Oryctolagus cuniculus: one gene and its partners. The protein of the gene in region 3 purifies or fractionates together with the protein of the main gene of each other region. This does not show direct contact. Links are inferred from orthologs where the notes say so. Each region holds a gene or a part of one and is shown on either strand. Other genes may lie near its edges.

Region 1 (4,021 bases), on a different chromosome or scaffold from region 3:
ACAATTCACGGAAGCTGCAGCAGGCTGGGGCAGTGGGTAACACACCACTTGGGATGCGCGCATTCTATATTGGGAGTTCTTGGGTTCAAGTCCTGGCTCAGATCCTGATCCCAGTATCCTGCTTAATGCACACCCTGGAAGGCAGGTGACAGCTCAGGTACCTGGGTCCCTGCCACTCATGTGGGAGACCTGGGTGGAGTTCCTGGCTTCTGTTTCCTGCCTGACTCAGTCCTGGCTATTACAGGCATTTGGGGAGTGCACAACAGAACAGACCTTCTTTCTCTCTTGCGCGCCCGCGCGTGCGCCCTTTCCTTTTCCTTTTCTCTAACATAAAATAAATTTTAAAAGTTTAAAAAGAATATCCAAAAGTTAAAAGTCAATCTGAGGAGCCAATTTTGTAGTGTAGCAGGTTAAGCTGGTACCTGCAACACTGGCATCCCATATGGGCATTGGGTTTAAGTCCCAGTTACCCCACTTCTGATCCAGTTCCCTGCAACTGTGCCTGGGAAAGCAGCTGTGCCTGGGCCCCTGCCACCTACATAGGAGATCTGGATGGAGTTCCAGTCTCTTGGCTTCAGCCTGGCCCCAAACCAGTCATCAGGACCATTGGGGGAGAGAACCAGTGGGTGGAAGATTCTCTCTCTAACTCTGACTTCCAAATAGATAAAATAAATAAATACTTAAAAAATAAAGAAGTTGACCTGAACTTAGAATAGTTATTACCGGAGACTGGTAAGGCTGGGCAAGGGCAGATGGAGGGCGACTGGGCAACACAGTCAGCTGGGGTAGAAGGTTCTAGAGTTCCCCAGCGCAGTGGGTGACTGCAGCTCACAGCAATGTAGCACAGCCTGTGTGAGGGGAAGGCCGGGGAGGTGGGAAGGCTGGGGAGGTGGGGACGCCGACTGCCTGATGTGTTCAGTTTGCTCCACGGGCACGTGTTGAAATACTGCACAACTTTTTAGCCTTCCTTCCCCGGGTCTTGCTTTTTATTCCTCTTACAGCCGTTTGTTTATTTATCCAAAGGATCCCTGGCCTACTTGACTGTTTCTCTTTGTTCTCTGACACACCACCAAGAATTAATCAGGTCCTTTTAAGACAGTCCGTGCTTCAAGGAACGTGCCAGGTCAGCATTATTTCCCTGAAGATTATTGCGCATAACAATTCGATTTTTTTTTCCAAAGGAGGAACTTTCTGTCTTATCTAGGAGATATGCTAAGCCTGTTAAAGTGCATTAGGGTTAATCATGAGTCCTTAATGCAGACAAGCCTTCCCACCGCAGAGAACAAACTAGTTCCACACAATACATTCATGAGCTGCTAGATAATTTCACAGGCACACAAGCCAAAACTGCCCCTGCCTCCCGGCAGGAATGAGAACCCATTCTGGGGCATCCCTGGCTTCACCTTTAAGCAGCGAAGTTGAAATTTCCATTTTCTTTAGGGGCTGTCTGCGTAAACATTTAACATGGAAGCGAGCAGTGTCGACGGAGGGCATCCCAGCTCACCCCAAAGGAAACGACTCCATCACCCTTGAGAAACATCGCATCCTAACTTCTTCCACCACGCCACGAAACAGCCAGGCTTCAAACCGCCAGGAGCAGCGCGCTCCGCAACCAGCCAGATCCGAAGGAAGCCAGCAGCACAGTGTCCCTGAGAAACACGCTCCTGCCTCGGCTTTAGCACCAGCTTTACACAACCGCCTGCCTCCTCTTCCCCAAGGAAGGCTTCAGCACTCCGCAGCGATGCCCAAGGACACCCAGCCGTGTGCACCGACTCCAGGCGCCAGACACCTGCCCGCGAACACAGCCCGCCCTGTAGCCGCTGAGATGCGGCGCATCCTTGCTCTCTCCGTCCTGGACAGCGCAGGTCGCCTGCGGCTGACACTCCCTGGCCGGAGGTCCAGCAGTTCCGGGCTCCCCTCCGCCAGCTCCGCGCCCAAGGAAAACAGGAGCCAGAACAGGTGAGGGGCGCTCGGTTGCGGGGCCGACCCCTCGGCGTCCCGCCGCCTACGTGCCCAGCGCCCCGGGACTCCCCCAACCCCAGTGCTGTTCGCCCTTGCCCGGTCGCGACTTTCGGGCCGCCCCCAAACCCTTCGCGTAAGGAGTCCCGCGACCCCGACTCAGCCGGGAAGGGGCAGGGACGCAATGCCGGGTTCACGCTGCCGGCCGCGGGGTGGAGGGCGCGAAAAGGGCGCCGGACACGTGAGGAGGTGGGCAGGGGGCTCTCCGAACCGGGAGGAAGATGCAGGGGGATGTTAAGGGCTACCGGAGGGCCAGGTGAGGGGTTGCAGAGAGGTCGCCAAGAGGACACTGGAGTGAGGGGCAGGTGGAGGCGCTCCTGCAGGCGGATAGCCTGAGGAGGGGTGGGGGGTCGTGGGCTTCCAAAGAGCCGCACCTGCGGGCCAGGTGCGGGGGCTCCCGGCCCCCTGCGCCGCGCCTCACCTGCCCAGCGCCCGCTTCATGCCCGCGTCGGCTGCGCTGCGCTGCTCGGCCGGCCCTTTGCCCGCCAAGCGCAGATTCTGCTTCAAGCGGCAGTCGGCGTCCAGCGCCGCGGCGGCCGAGCCCGGAGAGGACGAGCCCGAGGCGGTGCAGCGCTCATGCTCCAAGGTGACGGGCTCGGTCCGCTTCCTCATCCCGCGGCCGACAGGGCCGGCCGCCCACGGCGCCCGCTGGCCTCGCCCGCCCGCCTACGTCGGCCTCGCAGCAGCCCCTGCTGCTCACAGCCGCCGCCGCCGCCGGGGAGCCCGGAGCCTGCCGCCCCTCACATCCCAGCCCCAGGCCGTGGCGCCGGCTACGGATCAGCAGCGGGCCGGGTCTGCCGCGCTGGCCAATCAGCGCCGGGCCCCGCCAGCTTCGGCCAGGCCCCGCCCCCGGTGCCGCCGGCCCAGCGTCCCGGGCGCCGGCCCGCAGCCATCTTGGAAGAGGGCGGCCGAAGCCGCAGCCTCGCGTCATCAGCAGGGCAAGGCTGAGCTTTCGAGTCCCGGTGGCCAGGGCGCCAGGCTCCCTGAGGCCTGGGGAACGGCTTCGCTTGGGCGCCCAGGACCGTTGCCTGTGTCCGTAGTCCGACCACGACGCAAGGCAAGGTTCCTCTCCTCACCTGGAAGTGTCATAAAGGAATATAAGAGCAAAAGAACAAGGAGCAAGCCACAGTTACGTTCTTTAGACTTGCAACTACTTATCCAGGAAGCTTTCACTGTAAAAAAAAAAAAAAAAGGGCATTCAGGTAATTAACTTTTAATAGGAAACAACTATTTTATGTTTGCTTTGAGACTAAGTGAAAAATTAACTGTTTACTCGTTAGAAATCTGTATGACAGGTTAGATTTTTATAAAGCAAATAAAACTATCTGATGGCAGGAAATCCGTTTTAAAGAAACATTGGTCGTTGTGGAACCCAAATTAAGTACTAACTCAACTCATCCTGAAAAGGTAAAAGGAAAGAATAAAGGACCGTTTCACAAATTTAGATTCACAGCTTTGGTTTTCTTTACTATGGTATTAATTTTACAAATGATCTACAACAGAGAGATTATTTGCTTATTTATTCCAAGGTTAACTTCTGTAATGTAAACATTTGTGTCAGTTTGCAAACTCTTTTTTTTTTTTTTTTTTTTTTGACAGGCAGAGTGGACAGTGAGAGAGAGAGACAGAGAGAAAGGTCTTCCTTTTGCCGTTGGTTCACCCTCCAATGGCCGCCGCTGCAGCCGGCGCACCGCGCTGATCCTGGCAGGAGCCAGGAGCCAGGTGCTTTTCCTGGTCTCCCATGGGGTGCAGGGCCCAAGCACCTGGGCCATCCTCCACTGCACTCCCTGGCCATAGCAGAGAGCTGGCCTGGAAGAGGGGCAACCGGGACAGAATCCGGTGCCCCAACCGGGACTAGAACCCGGTGTGCCGGCGCCGCTAGGTGGAGGATTAGCCTATTGAGCCACGGCGCCGGCAGTTTGCAAACTCTTGGCAACTGACAAAGATAAATTGGAAATGCCTTTAGAAGTTCAGTAGCTCCTTAGCTTTGTAAAGATACTTT
Region 2 (4,312 bases), on a different chromosome or scaffold from region 3:
CGCAGGTGGTACTGGTAGTGGGACGACCACTTGAAGGCCAGGCCGCACTGGCCGCAGGTGAAGGCGCGCAGCCCCGTGTGCACGCTGCGGTGGATCTGCAGCAGCGACGAGCGCTTGAAGGCCTTGGGGCAGTCGGGGCACGGGTAGGGCCGCTCGCCCGTGTGGCCCCGCTGGTGGTACAGCAGCGCCGAGGAGCCCTTGAAGGCCTTGGGGCAGTCTGGGCACTTGTAGGGCCGCTCGCCCGTGTGCGTGCGCTGGTGGTGCAGCAGCCGCGAGGACCAGCGGAACGACTTGCCGCACTCCCCACACTCATACTGGGCTGCGGGGGCCGCGGGGCCCGGCTTCTCCCCGGCCCCCTCCGCGGTGGAGGCAGGCGCCATGTCCGCGTGGGAGCCGACCATCACACCTGGCGGAGGGATTCTGGGTCAGCGGCGGGCGCTACACTCAGCCCCAGGCCACACTGGCCGCCTCCCCGGCCACCCACCCCGCGGGGGGCCTCCCGTGGGATGTGCGCTCCCAGCAGCCCAGGGTTGCCCAGGAAAGAGGCTGCCAGTGTCAAAATGGAAACCGCCCGACACACTGGGACAACGGGTCACCCTCGCGACGCTGGCCATCTCCCCGGACTGAGCAGCCCGGGCGCGGCCGGCAGGCCTGTGCTCCTTGCCCGCACAGCCAGGCCGCGTCCTCTGAAGACCTCACCCGCCTGCGCCCCCACACGGGCTGCGGCCCGGCCTCGCCCTAAGCCTTCCGTCTGCCCACAGCCTCTGCAGGGCCCTGGCCTCCAGCCAGTCCCCCTAGCCACCATCACCCTGCCTCCTCGCTCACTCCCTCTTGAACCCCCAATCCCTGGACACCAGCAGGTCTGTGGCCCCTGCTGCTGCGGGCCCTGTGCCACTGTCCCGCCCCCATTCTCACAGCCCCTCCCCCAGCCTATGCTGGCCCCACTGCACACACCCCGCTCTGAGGCTCCCTGGCAGCCTCTCTTCTCCCCAGACTCCAGCACCCCGTCCTCTCCTGCTCTAAGCGGGCAACCCCGCCACGGACCACGCCGGCTCCGGGGAAAACACAAGCAATCCGGAGAGGAAGCCCTCAGCTTCCAGCCAGCGGCTCCCACCTCCCAGGGGAGCCCCGGCTGTCTCTCAACTGCAGGGCAGGTGCTGCCGGCCTCTGGGGTGAGGCCAAGGGTCCTTCTCAACACTGCAGGGGGTAGGACCACCCCCACGCCGTGGAGAATGCTGAGACCCCTCCCCCACGAGGAGCCCACTGCCCTCCATGCCTGTGCCCTCGCATTCCCACAAGTCTCCCCGGGAGCCGTCCCACTCCCAGGGCTGCGCACCCCTGCCGGGCTGTGCCACGTGGCACACCTTGGACTTCCCATGCCCAACCCCACCCCAGCTTCCTGCGCCCGCTTCAGCCCGGACTCAGCCCCGTCTTCTGTCTGAAGGTGGCAGCCAGGGGCGCCGGGCCCTCCTCGCCCGCCTCTCTCCCCCTGGCTCTCCGAGGCGGTCCGCCAGCAGGGTCCCCTGCGGAAGCCGGCCACTTCTGGAGGCCCACCTGTGTGCTGCCACCTCCTCTCCCGGAGGCCGCACCAGGCCTCTGCCCCTGCCCCTGCCCCTTCCCTTCCTAACCCCACCTGTCCCCGGCACAGCAGCTCCAGGGAGGCCACTCCACTCCGCTGCCCTGAGACCTCCCAGAGGTCCCGTTTCTGAGCCTGCGGCCCCGTCCCCTCCATGCCTTCGGCTGCGGGTCACCCCGGCCGCCAGCTTGCTCCCTCCTTGGGGCACCTGCCGGCGTCCCCAGCCCCCACCTCACCCCCAAGTCTTTGCCGACACTCCCCAGTCTCTGCCCCAGCCTCATCCGTGTCTCCATGGCACTCGTCCCCTCGGCGGTGGCCGGGCCAGAGTGTCCCGTGGGGCTGTTTTGTGCACGCCGCCAGCGCCAACCACGCCCCCGCAGCCGGGACCACCACACTGGCTCCTGATGTCACCAGACTGACTCTGGGGCCTGCTCAACCCTCGCCTACCGCCCCCAAGACCGACTGCGGCAGCCCCTGCTGCAGGGCCGCCCCAGCGTGCAGAGGACCACCCAGGGTGCGGCCTCGGCCACGGTTTCCCCAGGCCGCAGAAACGGGGGCCTGTGTCCAGGGAACGAATCCCTCTGAAGCATGAATGAATGAATGAATGAACGAATGAATGAGCACCCCCCCGAAACGGTAGGCGAGGCCTCTGCGGGGACCCGTGCGTGCCCAGAAGCTGGTGCGCCTCTAAGAAGACCGAGCATCGCTGGGGTCCCAGCGGCCGCGGCCCCGCTGGTGCACGGAGCAGAGCCGGCCCCTACAAGGCCGGTTCACGCCCTTCCAGCAGGTCGGACTGCCCCTTTAAGAGGGCGCCGCCACTGAGCGGCCGGGGAGCTTTTCCTGCCATTACCTACGCAGCCGTCACGGCCTTTTAATAAGACAACTCCTTTTAGGGGGCAAACAAACAAGAGGGGCGGCTTCTGTAAAACGCAGCCTCTGGCCCTTTAAGAGGGCGGCGCCGGCCCAGCGGGCACGAGTCGGCGGTAAAATAGCGACCTTCCCTTTAAGGCACCCCTTCCGGTTTCACGCTCACCGCTTCCCCAACGTCTCCGCCCTCCGGTCCCTCCCCCCACTCCCACCCCGCGGGGTCTCACCTGCGGCCCCGACCCGGGGAACGAGGGCGGGGAGCCCCAGAGCCTTCCCGCGGGGGCCGACGGGAAGGGGGCGCCCCGGTGGCGGCCGTGCGGGACAGGGGGCCGGGGAGGGGGGCGGGGGCGCGCTCCCTCCCGGCGGCCCCCGGCGCGAGGCACCCAACCTTTATCGGCGGCCTCTCGCGCACACAAACCCCGACGTCGCCGTCGCGCGTCATGACGCGCGCGCGCCGAGGCCCCGCCCCGAGCCGCCGCGCTCCCGGGCGCCGGCGGCGCGTGGCATCCTGGGAGTTGTAGTTCTCCGGGCCGCAGGCCAGGGCCTTCCGTTGTCCACCGGCTTTTTTGGAGGGCGCGCTGTTTCCCTAAGAGCAGCGTCCCTTTTACTTCTGCTTTCGTTAAACACTGGCCACAAAGGAGGCGTCCACGCTGCCCAGAGGGCTACCAGGCAGGGCGGACGTGGAGGCGCAAAACTCTGCCAGCCCCGTGCCCCAGCCACCTGGTCCTCGCCCAGCCCGGCAGGAGGCCCACAGGGTCCAGAAGCCGACGCGGCCCTGCTTCAAGCCAGGAAGTGGACAAAGCTTTGAAGTCCACGACGCTTCCTGATCGTGGTAGCAAGCCCCCTCGGGGCAAGCTCCGGGGAGAAATCTCAGGCCAGGCCGTGTCCAGCGTTATCCAGGCCCAAAGGGAGTGGGGGGGGGGGGGAGGTGGCTGGAGCAACGGGGCTGCCCCAGCCCCCGCCAGCTCTGAGCTGAGCCCTTCCGTGTAGCTCCTCTGTGGGCCACAGGGGACATGAGGGGGTCTCTGAGGACCCTGGAGCCAAGACGCAGGGGGGGGGGGGTCTACCCCAGACCCTCCGCCCACAGAGCACCAGGAGCCGCTCCCCGGCCCCTCGACGTGGTCAGCGCCTCCCAGAGGGTCCCCGATCCGAGGCGGCCCCAGCCCCGCCCTCCCGTGGTCTCCCATCCCAGGGGAGCTGGAATTTTCTGGGCGTCTTCCTCCCGGGTTCTCTAGGGCGGCCCTGCTCACTGCTGCACACAGTAGGCGCTCAATAAATGCTGAAGCCCCGCCCCCATCACTGAGCCGGCTGGGTTAGGAGCCGGAGACCGGCGAACACCTGTCAGCGCCTGGAAGCGCAGGTAACCAGGGAGTCTCACCTGGCGCCGCGCCCTGCACCTTGGGCCGGAACGTGGGCGCCCCCTGGTGGAGCCTCCGGAGGTGTGCGCCCGGCCCGGCCCGGACTGGCAGGTGCGGCGGCCGCCCCCATGCTGCGCTCACCCTCCAGCGCCCCCACGGCCCCTTGCCGAGGGCACCTGCACCTACCCCTCTGGGCCGCGGCCAAGACATAGAGGGAGGCCGAGCGACAGAGCTGAGCGGACGACAAAAGGCAAAGAAATGCAGTCCCGAGGGAGGGACGAGGGGGAGTCCGGACCGAACACCCGACAGGCCCGAGGGTCGCAGTGGGGCTGGAGACCCTGGAAGACCCCTGAGAGAGTCCCTGACGCCCCGGCTGGGCCTGCTGTGCACCTGCCACCAGCACCCAGGCCCCACGTCCCCTCGGTAGCCTCCCTGGGGAGAAAGCTGCGGGCCAGTCTTGGCTTCCCCTGGAGCCAGGGAAGGCGGCAGGGGCAGGTGGGCGTCGGCCCCA
Region 3 (3,523 bases):
CCCATGTTGGGAGACCAGAATGGAGTTTCTGCTTCCTGGTTTTGGCCTGGCTCAGTGCTTGCTGTCATGGCCATTTGGGGAGTGAATCCCCTGGGATGAAAGACCTCCTTCTCATTGCCTTTTGAATAAATCAATCAATAAATTTTTAAAAAAAGACTCTCCATTTCCCCCTCACTCTATGTTATAGAAGTTCTGTAGTGTTGACAGGGTGTGTGGTGGCAGGAAGAATAGAAACTTGAAAGTTTTTTTTTTTTGCCTCTTCTGGGTACAGTATTTTAATATTAGACCCCTTTATAATTTAGAACTTATAATTAACAAAGATCCTCTTAAAAATCATAAGCTACTTAGTATGTAACTAGCTCTACATTTAAAATGATCTAATATAAATGGCAAACATGCTAGAAAAATACAAGGATGATGAGAAAGGAAGATTTTTCTACTATTACAAGTTTAAGGGTATAGTTTTTTAAGAAACTTCAATAAGTTTTAAATATTAGAATAACTGAATTACTGATGCATTTGCTGTGACCCTGAGAATCTAATTATTAACAAATTCCTCAAAAAATAAAAAATGTTAAAAAAGAAAAGGCATTTATATGGTCCCTAAAGAAAATGATGCTTAAATGTTGTAATTATTTTCCCTCACTGTGTATACGCCATTTGCAATGGCTTGCTAGTCATTTCTGAATAGATGGAAAGCCAGGCATCTGCAACCATATGAAAGTGGGAGCAGGAAGAACCTTAAAGCCCTGTGTCATTGACATTTGTCTCTGAAAGTTATTAGCTCTTCATCTGTTCTCTTCCTTGACCTCTTTTCCCCCCATATATTTCCTTTTATTTGAATAATCTTGAAGGTTATACTTTCTGCATAGTAAAAATTCTACTACCTGGAAGCCTAAAAAGTTTGGATAAATGCTCATAGCTTGAAAAAAGGCTTGTGGAAATTATTGCAAACAATCTAAAATGTAGACTGTTCAAATTTATATCATCAGCTATTACATATTAATTGACCAGTTTTCACCAATAAAATCACTTATTTTTTGTCACTGAAGCCAATAAGCACTCCTGACATTACAAATAGCTCTGAGAACCTTTTGAAGGCATTCTTCCAAAGTGTATACTTGTTCTGTATACAAACATTGGTCTGCAGCAAGGCCAGACCACCTGCTGCCTCTAACACTGCTCTCAAAGCTTTAACTAAATGTGATTACTACTGCTTGTCACTGGATGCTGTGGCCCTTCAAGTAGGAATTTCTTTCAGTGTGCTGGGAAGTAAGCTAGGGTCTTGCTTGCCACAGTGATTTTTTAGTACAGGGTGGGTAGCCAGGGCAACTTCAGATCAGTAGTGTTATTTGGTTACAGTCCTGTCTTTTTCTTTAACAAAATATCTAAACTGCCTTAGATAATAACAAAGGCATTTCTCACAGTTCTGGGGTCTGGAAGTCCAAGTTCATGAACCCTGGTGAAGACCAACGTCCTGGCCCCCAGAGTGGTACCTTCTCACCGTGTTTTCAGTGGGTAGAGGTGGTGAGCTCTGATCTGTTTGGCCCCTTCCAAGGTCGCTAATCCCGTCCACCAGGCCCTTCTCAGCCAGTCACCTCCCAAGGGCCACGCCTCCTAAGATCACCTTGAGGCTGAGGCTTCAACACAGGAGGGTGGGGGTACTAGCGGGGTCACAAACATTCAGACCACAGCATATCTGTTCATTCTTTTCCCCAAATCTGAAACCCTTGACTCCATATAACACCACCAGCTGTTAGCATAAGACAGATTGTTCTAGCATTTTCTCTACTGAAGGCAAGAACGGAGGAGAACGTGTGGCACTGACGGCTTTGGGGTCTCCTTTGACTTAGAATACGGCTACAGCACCGTCGCGGTGGCGCTTCTCACGCTGGGCTCCATGCTGGGGACGGCGCTGGTCCTTTTCCATGGCTGTGAGGAAAACTACAGCCTCGTGTTACAGCTCTTTGTGGGCTTGGCCGTTGGGACGCTCTCTGGGGATGCCCTGCTGCACCTTATCCCTCAGGTAATCTCTTTTCCATTGCAGATGGAGCTGTCTGAATTCTCTTGATGTTCAACCACTGCAGGTACCTGCGCAAAGTTTTACAGCAACTTGAATGAGGAATGAGGAATGGGATGGCCGGTGTTGTCTCTGGAAAGAACTATTATTTCCCCAAACTTCTGCCCTTGTAGGAGAGGAGATGACCAAACACTAGGTTTTGCCACTCATTTCTTCTAGTGTTGAAATAGTAATGAAAAAGACAGGGGATCGGATCCAGATTGCTGTTAATAAAGATTCCAGAAGCATATGTAAGAATCATCTACAAATGGAAAAGTATAAGCTGAAAAGACATTGTGCTAGTTTTGTTTTTAGCTTTGTCTCCTCCCAACCCTGCTCAGATCATTCTTTGTCTTTCTCTGCTGCCTCTTCTGTTCCAGAATGTTCTGTCCCCTCCGCTCCCTTGCAGGCTGGCTGTTTGCGTTCACTCAATGTGCGGCACAGTGGGAAACCCAGCACAGGAGGAGCAGAGGCCGGGAACTGTCTGCCCTGGCTCGGCATCTGGTCTAGAAGTAGCTGCGGGGCTGTGACCAGCTCACCCCTCCCTGATGTCATTTCCTCCCTCTGCCCTTCGGCCCTGAGGGTGGTAGTGATTGGGGCTTGTTGGGTGCCGGGGGCCCCATTTTCGCTTGTTCTCACCCTTGACTCTGCCACCTCCACAGCGGTTCCATCACCAATGCCTCTGCTTTGGAGCTATCCGGATGCATTTCTCTTTTTTGCTAACTAATGCTGTCTAGATTTCCCCTAAGAAAAATGGAGAGAAGCACGGGGAGGCTTGCTGTTTGTCAGGAATGACAGGTCTAAGACGTGCGATGTGAGAGTTGGGGCAGAAGGCTTTGTGGATGACGTTATGTGTTCCCCCTGAAATCGCTGACAATGGATAAGGACAAGAGACCCAGGATATCCGCCCCACCTCCCTACCCCTGACACACAGCTTGCAAAGCCTGAGATGTTAAAATTTTCCATAAGCCTCTGGCAGTTTCTGCCAGGGTCACTCTCGTTGCTTAGATGCTCAGTAATTATTCAATGTTCCGAAAAAGGCAGAGTGAGCATTGGAGAAACACAGCAAACCATTATTAGTTTTAATTTCCCTCATAATCTAATCTTCTGGAAATATTTCGGGGCTTATTGCTGGCTTGGGACGATGGCCAGGGCCCTGTGCTAGGTCATGGTGATGGTTGCAGAGCTGTTTCCTGCCCAGGGTCCTGGGATCAGCAAAGGGACGGCGAGGCTGCCAGAGAGGGAGCACACAGCCAGGGCCGGGTGGTGAGGGTGAGGGTGAGGGTGGGCCTTGGGGGTGGGTGGTGCATGTTACAGAGGTGAACTTCAAAGATTAGCTTGGTTTCATGAAATTTAGAAGGCAGCTTTTTGCTCAGGGAAAGATGAGGACCGATGTTACTAAAAAGCACAAGTATGATGACAAGCTAGAAAAATCAGTGGCTCTTGAAAGTAACCCATGGCGAG

The links.
Region 1: the proteins of SLC39A12 (region 3) and ABHD12 purify together in Homo sapiens (co-immunoprecipitation; 3 studies listed by BioGRID and IntAct, counting the BioPlex papers as one, with this or other methods). This does not show direct contact. The link is inferred for Oryctolagus cuniculus from reciprocal best matches to the Homo sapiens genes SLC39A12 and ABHD12.
Region 2: the proteins of SLC39A12 (region 3) and NAT14 purify together in Homo sapiens (co-immunoprecipitation; 3 studies listed by BioGRID and IntAct, counting the BioPlex papers as one, with this or other methods). This does not show direct contact. The link is inferred for Oryctolagus cuniculus from reciprocal best matches to the Homo sapiens genes SLC39A12 and NAT14.

What each region holds. Positions count from the first base shown.
Region 1 is NC_091442.1:49,780,120-49,784,140, forward strand, and holds the start of ABHD12 (lysophosphatidylserine lipase ABHD12), read right to left. Parts: upstream 2,807-4,021; 5' UTR 2,632-2,806; coding exon 2,441-2,631; intron 1-2,440.
Region 2 is NC_091449.1:3,483,274-3,487,585, forward strand, and holds the start of NAT14 (probable N-acetyltransferase 14), read right to left. Parts: upstream 2,804-4,312; 5' UTR 2,671-2,803; intron 402-2,670; coding exon of another isoform or gene 1-401. Other genes in the region: ZNF628 (zinc finger protein 628), read right to left, coding at 1-401. UniProt on the Homo sapiens protein: Probable acetyltransferase. May act as a transcription factor that regulates the expression of coproporphyrinogen oxidase by binding to a promoter regulatory element.
Region 3 is NC_091444.1:44,135,036-44,138,558, forward strand, and holds part of SLC39A12 (zinc transporter ZIP12), read left to right. Parts: intron 1-1,853; coding exon 1,854-2,026; intron 2,027-3,523. UniProt on the Homo sapiens protein: Uniporter that promotes Zn(2+) import from the extracellular space to the cytoplasm across the cell membrane. The transport activity is temperature dependent. May play a role in neurulation and neurite extension.